2 separate regions of the Mus musculus genome follow, and region 2 is reported to be linked to region 1. Evidence: microRNA targets listed by miRTarBase, many of them from high-throughput screens and not tested one by one. Region 1 holds a microRNA gene; the other region holds the end of a gene's coding sequence.

Evidence for each region. The annotated mature microRNA mmu-miR-335-3p reads UUUUUCAUUAUUGCUCCUGACC and lies in region 1 at 3,180-3,201, shown strand. An mRNA with a match to its seed (bases 2 to 7 or 8) in the 3' UTR can be bound and repressed. Matches are read on the target gene's strand: a 7mer-m8 pairs with bases 2 to 8, a 7mer-A1 pairs with bases 2 to 7 and ends in A, and an 8mer does both.
Region 2: miRTarBase lists Afg3l1 as a target of mmu-miR-335-3p. Seed matches in the 3' UTR shown: 7mer-A1 at 3,387-3,393.

What each region holds. Positions count from the first base shown.
Region 1 is chr6:30,738,175-30,743,699 of GRCm38, forward strand. Mir335 (microRNA 335) reads left to right here and starts at 3,125; the gene lies at 3,125-3,222. It overlaps Mest (mesoderm specific transcript), which reads left to right. Exons shown (of 12, transcript NM_008590.2): 1 at 1-161; 2 at 2,496-2,650; 3 at 3,967-4,046; 4 at 4,354-4,431; 5 at 4,542-4,678; 6 at 4,840-4,898. The coding sequence starts at 136.
Region 2 is chr8:123,500,534-123,506,058 of GRCm38, reverse strand. It overlaps Afg3l1 (AFG3-like AAA ATPase 1), which reads right to left. Exons shown (of 17, transcript NM_054070.3): 15 at 4,626-4,826; 16 at 4,350-4,544; 17 at 2,143-4,211. The coding sequence ends at 3,993. It overlaps Dbndd1 (dysbindin (dystrobrevin binding protein 1) domain containing 1), which reads left to right. Exons shown (of 4, transcript NM_028146.4): 4 at 1-372. Among named protein-coding and RNA genes, the nearest start is that of Dbndd1, 12 kb to the left of the region's middle.

The DNA.
Region 1 (5,525 bases):
GCTGCCGCTGCCGCGGGCCGCCCTGCGCGGACCGTAGGCTGCGCAGACGCCACCTCCGATCCTGTATCGCTGCGGGCGCCTCGGCGCGCCCTGTGATCCGCAATCCTGCGGCGGGCGGCATGGGATAATGCGGCCATGGTGCGCCGAGATCGCTTGCGCAGGTGGGTGCTGCCAGCCCGTGCCGCCAGAGGGGGTGTGGCCGGCCCGCACCCCGGAGATGCGGGAGGCAAAAATCCTTATCCAAAGGTTGCCGCCCAGCCCAAACTCTCGGAATCGCCCTCACTGATGATTTTTAGAACCAGGGTTTAGTCGCGTGAGATTTACGAATTTGAGGATTTTTGCATTAACATGTGAGAATTAGCCTTTTTTTGTCTGGGTCTTCGTTGTGGTACGATTTAGGAGGTGGTGGTGAAGCAACTTAGGATTCGAGAACCTTGGTAATGCCTGGTGTGTTCTAGGATCTTCAGAGCTGGTCATTGTTGTGGCGTGATTTAAGATTTCTAGACCACGGCATGTGATTTAGGAATTCAGGAGCTGAGATTGTCACAGAGCGACTTAAAATTTCCAGGTTCTGGACTCACAATGGCAGGGTTACCGCATAGGTGCGACTAGATCGTGCCGCGCAGTGTGGCCACGGCTATAAGTGTTGTTTGGGAGCCAGAAATGGAAACCCCGGGGGACACCGGCACGCGGCCAGGCTCTTAAAATGTAAAAAGAATTGTTTGCTTTGGTTTGTGGGTGCACAGCGTAGTTCTCAATAAGAATGAGTCAGGTGGGCTGGTTTGGTGGTATTAGATAAATATGTTTTTACATCATTTAAAGCAGTAAGAAATCAAGGCACGTAAAGTTTGTTGTGCGAGTGTGTTGAATTTTTGCTCTAAATCATGGTACCATCAAATATTAGAGAGTGGACTTAAAAATTATTGTTTAAACCTTTTGGTCCGATTGCTAGTTTCCTTGACTGCTAAAAATCTTAAAATGTTTGGGGTATTTTTACCAAGGTAACTAAAGCTGAGAATGGCTGGGGGGGGGGGTTGTCCCCCCTTTCCTGCATGGAGGAGGTGCACTGAGGTATGGTCCGGAGAGCGTGGGTGTGGCACCTCTGTTTCCCTGCGCCAGCAGGAAGCCCCTGTTCACTCTGCAGTAGGCGCCCCTCCCCGGCGTTCTGCTGAGTCACTGCGGATTCAGTGAGTCCAGCAAGGATGCCCCAGAGGCTACATGAAAATGTATGAACAGGTAACAGGACCAAATGGGTTCTGAGGAAATGAGCAGTAACAACAAAAAGACCCCCCCCTCCCCCAAACCTAATGCTTTTGCTTTTCAAAGAGGTTCAGCCTTAAAACCCGTTAGTGGATAACAGACTGAGATAAAAACCATCGTGTTCTGGCACTGTGCCAGGCATTTCTAGTATAGCCTCAAAAGGTAGAACCAAAGCCTTGTGTCTTTATTGGACAGTGACTTTGGAGGAAGGAAAAAAAAGTCTCAGCGCTGACTAAAGTTGAGGCAGGCAGCTGAGGTTCCTAAGGGGTGCTGGTTTTTACCCACCATTTCAGGTTTACAGAGAACACCCCCCCCACACACACAAAAACCCAGTCAGTTTCATCAAATTGCAGGTAATGTGTTATGTATAGGGTGCACTCAAATACAAAGACAGCGGTTTTATTTGTAGCTCACTTCCTAATGTCTGTAGCTTTAGTTTAGGAGGCACTATCCCAATTCTTTAGAGAACCCTTTCCTTGGTGACCATGGCGGGTCACAAAGGAAATGGTTTCTAATCGTGCCTTATTTCTCGCCTCCAGGATAAATTGATCTGGACCTTTGAAATCCAGGCATGGCAAGCTGGGGCCACAAATCTGTGCTTCCCCCCCCCTCCTGCCCCCCCCCCCCACAAAAGTCTTGAGTGCTAGGTGTGGGGGTGGGGTCTTAATTAAATAAAAGGGAACCACCTCAAGAGTCTGCTAAGAATGCACAAATATAATCTGCTGCCCAGACTTGTAAGAGATTAGATATTCAGGGTCAGGGCAAAGCTGCTTACTGGAATTCTCCTGGTCTCTCCCCTCAACAGTTCCATAGCCCAAATGCAGACAGTAGTGCCAAATGGGGATTCACTTGGTCAGAGGATATGTATGTGTTAGAACCCAGGAGCAGCTCTCTGCTTAAGGCCATGCAGTAAGTTACATATGTGCTTGGAAAGAATGGTAGTGAGCTAGTACAGTGACTGCCAGATGTCAAAGGGTAAAGGTGTTTATCACATTCTTCTTGGTAAAGTTTATGCCATTGTCACGTTGGGTGGGGAGGTGTGGAGTGGGGAAGGGAGGGGTGAAGTGGGGAGGGGAGGGGTGGAGTGGGCAGGGGAGGGGTCGAGTGGGAAGGGGTGGGGAGGGGAGGGGAGGGATGGGGGGTGGGGTCAAACCTCACAGTGCCCAGGTTTCCCACCCATGTTTCATTCTGATTTTTGGAAGTGTACAATGTTACCTTGGCTGCTTTTTCCACAGGATGAGAGAGTGGTGGGTCCAAGTAGGGCTCCTGGCTGTGCCCTTGCTGGCTGCGTACCTGCACATCCCGCCCCCTCAGCTCTCCCCTGCTCTGCACTCATGGAAGACTTCTGGCAAGTTTTTCACCTACAAAGGCCTACGCATCTTCTACCAAGGTGAGAACTGGGCTATTGGAGAATCCCAAGGACGTGGGTCGTGTAGGTTTCAGCTGAAGTTACTTATTTTGTGTCCCTTGGTCTGTTGCTCCACAGTGAAGGTGAGGTGAAGGTGGGGGTAGAATTGTGCCTGGTAGTAATTGCAGCCCCATTTGTATTTGAGAAATTACTTTTCTCTTTTGAGCGCCCCTAGTGTCAGGTAAGCTATATAGTATTTCGAGATCTATCTATACCTTTGTTTCCCCCACGCCCCACCCCATTCCCAAATTCATGCACTATTTTCCGTGATTTGTTATATGTAGCTGATAAGATTGACTTGATGACTGCTATTTAATTACCACACTCAGGATATTCAGTTATATTTTAACCTTCATTATTTCATTTTTCACTTAATTTTTACAACAGCATTTGGAGATAGGTGCCATTAACCTCATTTTATAGCTGAAGAAACCGAGAAACAGATTGGAAAAGATTTCTTTTGGGCGGGGGTCAAGAGCAATAACGAAAAATGTTTGTTTTTCGTAAACCGTTTTTCATTATTGCTCCTGACCCCCTCTCATGGGTTATAGCCAGTCGAGTAAGTATGCATTTTTTTTTTTATGTTGGCTTGTTGTTCTTTCCCAGACTTGATATTCAGTGTTACATCTTATTTGCATAGGTTCTTTAGGTTAAATCCAGTATATGATATTTTAATTGCTTTTAATTAAATAATTTCTGAAAACATGCTACCAAAGTTTTATTCCACTAGCAGTATTAATTTCAATCCAGTACTGTTGGCAAGGTATTTTATTGTTTGAATAATCTGAAATATGTCACATACAGAAAAAGTTCCCATCACTATTAGCCCATCTTTGTAACAGTTTGATTTTTTGAGTTGCATGAATTCTGCTAGTATATGGACAAATGGTATAAGCTCAGGTGATCCACTGGGAAGAACTGTCACATCTTAGATATTAGGTGTGATAAATATTGATTAGGGACAAAGAAGTTTTAGCTTGCTGTGATTATAGTATTTTAACTGTTTTTCCTTTTTATTTAAAAATTTGAGTTTTATATTAATGTCAGCGAAAATATGAGGATGTCTACACAACTCTTAAGTGATGATGAACAAACTGTTTTAAGGGTTTTCATGTAAAGCATGCCATTACGATTTAAAAGCGCAGATTAGGAGGAAGCTCCTGAAGTCCTGTCAGCTTGCTTTCTAACACAGCATGGTGATGTCATTCATTTAGTCTGATCCTTTTGACTGGATTAGATTTTGGTGTCGTCAAGGCTGCCTTGCATGCAGTTTGCCTCATTTCTCATTTTCCTCCTAGATTCTGTCGGTGTGGTCGGAAGCCCTGAGATAGTTGTGCTTTTACATGGCTTTCCAACATCCAGCTATGACTGGTACAAGGTAATAATGTTTCTAGGTCTGGCTTATGTCCTAAAAAAAATACTCAAAACTCAAGATATTTTTTTTGTTGTTGTTGTTGTTCTGGTCAGCCCTAGAATTCTTTTGCAGATTTGAACTGTTTGATAAAATCTCATTAAATGTAGAATTGCTTTTTATGTACTGTAAGGGGAGTAAAATACTGACTGCAGAAAGGGACACTGCCAAATTAAAGCTGGAGTTACGCTCTCCGTACAGTGGCATGCAGGCCTGTTTGCTGTGGGGCTGGGCAGTGGGAGCAGAGTGCTCACCATGCTTGCTTTCTTAACAGATCTGGGAAGGGCTGACCCTGAGGTTCCATCGAGTGATCGCCCTTGATTTCTTAGGCTTTGGCTTCAGTGACAAGCCGGTAAGCAGCAGCTGGGTGTGGTCCGTGATGGGGGTAGGTGGGTGGGTACAAATGAGGGTCTGGCAGGCACTGCTAACATCATGTTGTATCTCTGGCTTTCCTTTCCTCAGAGACCACATCAGTACTCCATATTTGAGCAGGCCAGCATCGTAGAGTCCCTTCTGCGGCACCTGGGGCTCCAGAACCGCAGAATCAACCTGCTGTCTCACGATTATGGAGATATCGTTGCTCAGGAACTGCTGTACAGGTCAGTGAAACCGGACTTCTGTCCTCTGCACAGGTGTCGTAGCTTTAGATAATGGGAAACTCAAGTATTCTGGGACCATCACACCTCTAGGGGTCGTCTGCAGCCCTTGTGGGGAGTCAGTTACTGAGCTACATGTGTCTTTTTTTCTTGCCCTGCTCCAGGTACAAGCAGAATCGATCTGGCCGGCTCACCATAAAGAGTCTCTGTCTGTCGAATGGAGGTAATTGCCTTGGTGGTAGGTGGAAAAGTAGGGTGTAGTTTCAAAAAGTCACCCTTTTAAGTCACACAAGAAAAAAAATTTAAAAATAATCTGATATTATAAACAGACACCATATATCGGGCATCTTTTACCTTCATTGTGCCATGAGTAGTTTTCATGGTTGATGGTATTTATGGAATACATATTTTCAAATCTATAGCAAATAAAAGGATAGCCATGATGGCAGGAGCCTCAATGGGTGAAGGGGCTTGTTGCCCAGTCTGTGGATATGACTTTGATTCTGGAACCCACGTTGTGGGAGAAGATTGATCCCTCTGGGCTGTCCTCAGACTTCCGCATGTGTCTTGGCACGAATATATACATAAGCACAATGAACACACATTTTTGTTGTTGTTGTTTGTTTCTAAAGAGCCAGGTGCAGTGGTGCACACCTTTAATCCCAACACTTGGGGGACAGAGGCAGGTGGATCTCTGAGTTCAAGGCCAGCCTGATTTACATAATGAGTTCCAGGACAGCCAGGGCCTGGAACCCTGTCCTGAAAACAAAAACAAAAACAAAAACAAAAAATAAAGGAGCTATCACAAATGTGATTCTATTGATCTGGCTGGTAAGCTACATTAATAAAC
Region 2 (5,525 bases), not on the chromosome of region 1:
ACCCCAGGTCTTCTTTAGTTCAGAACATCCAACCTCAGTGAAGACTTCCAGGTGGCTCGGAAGGACAGAGTGCCACCTCCCCAGTCCTGTGTCTGTCAGAGGCGCACACTGTGTATCCTCCACACCCCATTGCCTGACCGCCCACACATCCTGCCCAATGTTCGGTTGGGAGGCTCCGACACTGTGGATCTGTCTCGGGAGCAGCTGAGGGGTGACGGGAACAACCTAGCCACCCACTGTGCTGTGAGATGCTAGGCACTCGGTTTAGAGATTCAACGTTCCTTTCATGTGCACAAAGACAAACACACTGGCTGCTCTGACCACAAATCAAAGACTGTTTTGAAATAAAAGTGTACTTGCTTTTTGTCCCCAGGTTGACCTGCCCGCTGCCCACCATCTTCTGAGGAGGACAAGGCTTTTGATTGTCATTTGCAGTGAATGCTACCGGGGAGAAAATGCCCTGGGCTTCTGCTGGGGGCAGAGCTGCATCCAGGAGGTTCCTCTTCAGAGCCCCCCTGCCTCTGCACTGCTGACCCCCAAATGTGGGTTATTTCTGCCCGTCTCCCAAAATGAAAACCAACCCTAGTTTCCAAGGGATACAACCCAGCAGCTGCCTTTTCATCTCCAGGTAGCCTTGGCCACACTCCAGCCTGCCAGGGTCTTACCCTCGCCATCCACCCTTCCTGCTGCAGCTTCCACAGGGCACAGTTACAGAGTGGGATTAAAGTATCCCCGTCATCTTTGGACCTCTGGTCCCTCTAGATGGCATCAAAGTGCCATGGGAGCTCTGCTGTGCAGTTCCAGGCTGTGCTTATTTGAGTTGTATTTTAGGGACAAGTGCCCTGGATTTCTAGCCCCTAAGTTAATACAACAAAAGGAATCACTAAGAAAGAAAATCCTGCCCTGCCAACTCTTCCAGTCAACAGAGGTGGTCTGAGCCGAAGGAGCACTCTGCCCGGAAGCCACGGGGAAGCCCAAACCTTGCTACTTAACCACTGGAATGAGATGAACATAAAAGCCAGCCAGGCCTGACCACTTCTGGAGGCTCGGGGCAGCCAGGTCTACCGTGTGCATTTTATGGGAATGGTGTGGCTTCTGGCAAATTCTAAGCACCCTTATCCCTCCCTGCCCCTTTTCTAGGAGGGAGGTGGCAGAGACCCTGGCTACCCTCGCTGCTCTCATTGAGCAGGCAAGGATGCTCAGATCGCATGTCCCTGACCTCTAGCACTCTCAGGTCAGCACAGCAGGTGGGACAGCGCCAGCACAGGGCTCCATGATCTGCTGTCTAGAAATGCTGTGGCACACCCATGAGTCATGTAAAATAGATGAGATTCCATTGGTAAGAAGAGCAAGAAAGAGGATGTTACAGCTCTTTAACCAGCAGCTTGTGAAAGACAGAGTATGTGTGTTGGGGACAGGGTGGGGGCGCACCTGGATCAAAGGTGGAGGTGTGGGTAGGAAACAACCTGAGGACGCTGAGCCAATGGAATGGGAGGCACAGGAGGCCTGCCCCCAGGTCTGCTCAAAGGGTGGGAGATGGCTGTGACTGGGGTTGATGGTATTCAGTCTGCTAAAGGCATACACTGTGCCTGTCCCCACCATTCCCACTTCCTCCAGATGCTCCAAATGGGAGGTTCTGACACTTGACATGCCTCAGGAGAAGCCCAGAGGAGACAGGGCAAACCCAGCCACCCACCGCGCCCAACCACTGGTCGGTCACATAGATTGCCAAGGTAGCAACCTCAACAGCAGGTCAGTGCTGGTCCTGGAGTCCCTACCACAGAGTCTACCATGTCACAGGCCTTCTGGGCACCAAGGGATCACCCCACCTCATCAGAGGGAACTGAACACAAGACCCCAGGGCCCTGAGTTGCTCAGTGAATAATTTGGTTGACACCATGATATGGGTTTAAAATTCAATAACATGAGGCTGAAGAGATGGTTCAGCAGGTAAGAGTGCTGGTTGCTCCTCCAGAGGACCTAAGTTTAACACCCAGCACCCATATGGTGGCTCACAACTGTTAACTCCAGCTCCAGAGGATCTGACACCCTCTTCTGGACCCTATCGGTACTGCATGCATGTGCTGCACATGTACATACACACACATACATACAAACATACAGGCAAAACTCCCATACACATACAATTAGAAATAATTTTTTTAAAATTCAATAATGTACACTTTACAAACAGTGAAAATTGAAAGTATCTGTCTCCTGATGACATCTCTGAGGCGAGCGTGACAGTTTAGAGAATGTGCGATACCATGCACACCCAGTATAGTCTTTACATCCAGCTAATACACCCAGTCCACCCAATCTGGCCCTTAGCCGGGCCCCAAAGAGAAGGACAGGCCTCCACCATCCTGGCCAGGCACCCGGGAAGCTATGGCATCAGCTGAAAGGCAGGAGGGTCGGTAGCGTGCCTGTGCACAAGCATGAACATCCACTACAGCCCTGCATCGTTCACGGAACGGCCAGGATAAAGGTGAGCCTGCAATCCCAGCACTGGGCAGGCAGAGACGGGAGGATCCCTGGGGCTTGCTGACCTGCAAACACAGCCAGACTCAATACGAGACTCCATCTAAAAAGCAAGGTAGACTGGGTGGCGAGATGGCTCAGTGGGTAGAGGCGCCTCTGCCAAGCCTGATGATCTCTGGAACCCACACAGAGGAGAGCCCCGACTCCAGAGGTTGTCCTGTGCCCTGCGCATGTGCACCGTGGTGCGTGCGTGTGCAGATGTAAGTGGAAAACAGTAGAGATAGAAAGCAGTTGAGGAAGACACACTATCACATGCACACACACACACACTTTTACAGAGTCAAGGGAGCAAGTAGATTCCTCCCCAGGGCCACGAGCAGCCCCAACGCAGGCTATTGCAGCGGATGGTGCAGCCCTGAGATCTGTGTCCCCCCGAAACCTGGAGCAAGTCCACAACAACATCCAGGGAACCCAAAGCTCCACTCCAAGCACTCGGCTCTCACAGAGCAGGCCTCGACACAGCCCAGATTAACAGGAAAGAGAGGCCTCTTGCAGCCCACGGAGGCTTGGCGTTCCAAAGCCCTCCCCATGCACCAGAGCCAGAGGGCTCAACCTAAACCACCCTCTGTGGTTCAAAAGGGGGGGGGGCATGGATGCTGGAGAAAGGAAGGACTGCTGTGAGACGGAATTAAATCTGACACTCCCATCAGTGAGGCAGAGAAACCCAAAGGCTAGAAGCCAGGTCTGACTGACGAAACAGAATTTCTGACGCTGCCACAGGTGGGGTGGCCACGGTCCCTGTCCTCCACTGCACATCTACTGGTGCGCTGGCTTTCCTTCCTAAGGGCTGAGCAGCTTCCTTCCTTTTTATTTTTATTTTTTTTGTTTTTTGTTTGTTTTTTTGGTTTTTCAAGACAGGGTTTCTCTGTGTAGCCCTGGCTGCCCTGAACTCACTCTGTAAACCAGGCTGGCCTCGAACTCAGGAATCAAGCCTGCCTCTGCCTCCCGAGTGCTGGGATTAAAGGCATGCTCTGCCTTTAATCCACAACTGCCCGGCTCGCCTTCCTTCCTTAACTGTCTTATGTTTTCTTTACTTCTTCACCAACCTTTATCTGTGCTGAGTCAGGGCTCAGCCCTTGAGCAGGTTACCTCAGAAGCAGCTGTAAGAGGCTCACTTGGAAACTTAATCAAACACAATGTAGCTCCTCACAGCCCCACACCTGGAATCCCTCCAAAAAGACATCACTCAGGCTTCACAGAACCTGGAGAACCGGCCAGCCTTAGGTCCAGGGCCTATGGTCGCAGGCCACACCTTTGTTCCCTCAGCTATCTCCTTGGCTGGATGCTGGAGTCTAGCAGCTTTTCTGTGAATTTTGCATGGTCTTATCTGAGACGTGTGTTCGAAGTTGTCACCTGTTTTAATTAGTCTTTCAGTTACTCTGACAGCTGCTCTGCGATGGCTGAGCAGCTCCCAGTCAGCAGTGGTCATAAGCCGCCCCGGTGGCCACAGGCTACACAGGGCTCTCCTGCAAGCCCCGCTCAGTGCCTCCTTCCTCCCGCCCCTTATTCCAGTCTTTCAGCCCCTCAGGAAGGGATGTGTCCTCCTCTAGGCTGCCGGTGCCCTCTACAAATTCCTCATAGGTGGACTTCTCTGCAAAGGGCCGAGGGCCCAAGAGCTCTATCATGTCGGCTTTCTCCAGCACTTCTTTCTCCAGGAGACGCCTGCCAACCTGAAAAGGATGGCCACCCGTCAGGCTGCTGTGCCCAGGACCCGGATGCACTTAGTGGTCCTGATCCATGACAGAACCTAAGCTAAGTAGGCCCACGGAGATCAGCATGGTCCACACCCCAACCTGGGCCCCACTTACCTTCTCCACCTGCTCCCGGCACTGTGTGAGCAGCTCCAGGGTCCGATTATAGGCAGACCTGACGAGGCACCGGACCTCTTCATCAATGAGCTGGGCAGTAGCCTCACTGTATGGCTTCTCCACCATGGTTTCGCCTTGTCTGGGGAAGTCAAAGGACACCTGGCCCAGCTTCTCACTCATCCCAAACTGCACAATCTGAAGAATAGGAGGGGCCCGGGGTAAGTGGTGTCCAAGGCAGCCACACACAGGGCCACACAGAGGGACACTGCTCCTCACCTGGGCATAGGCACTCTGGGTGACCTTCCTCAGGTCGTCCTGAGCTCCGGTGGTGATCTGACCAAAGAACAGCTGCTCAGCTACCCTACCCCCCAGCATCATACACATGCGGTCGAAGAGCTGCTCTCGTGTGTAGAGGAACTGCTCGCGGGGAAGGTACTGGGCGTAGCCAAGCCCCTTGCCTCGAGGTATGATGGACACCTGAAAAATAAGACCGTGGAGCTGGAGAAACGGGTCAGTGGTCAAGAGCACGTACTGTTCTTGGGAAAAAAAAAACAGGTTGAGTTCCCAGAACTCACATTGGGTGGCTTACAACCATCTGTAACTCCAGCCCCAAATCAGAGGCCCCCTTGCGGACTCTGTGAGGTCTACCTTTATGTGAGCAAACCTACACCCAGACATACACACAACAATAAAGAATAGGAGAGACAGCTCAACAGATAAGAAGAACACTGGCTTCGGCTTGCGACAGATGGACCTGGGTTCAGTTCCCACCACCCACATAGTGGCTCACAAATACCCTTAACTCCATTTCCTGAGTTCTAGGGCATCTGACCCTCTTGTGCTGAGAGCAAACATGTAGGCAAAACATTCATACGCATACACTAAGTCTTAAAAAAAAAACTAAAATTAATCTTTAAAAAAATTCAAAGCCTAGATTTTGTGAGCCTCAAACATTGATCCACTAGGCCCTGAAGTGGCCATGGTCCCCTTACGACTGAGGATGGCAGGCTAAGAGCCCTGAGCTTCAGCCCTCTATAGACCAATGGAGTTGTCTGAGGAGTCTGACTGGCTCTTCAGGATTTGAATGCACAATTACTTGCATAAGAGTCAGATCCAAAGCTTATTAATGCTTAAGCTAAGCCCCAACTAGAGCCAATACCTCCTGCTCTGCCTCCC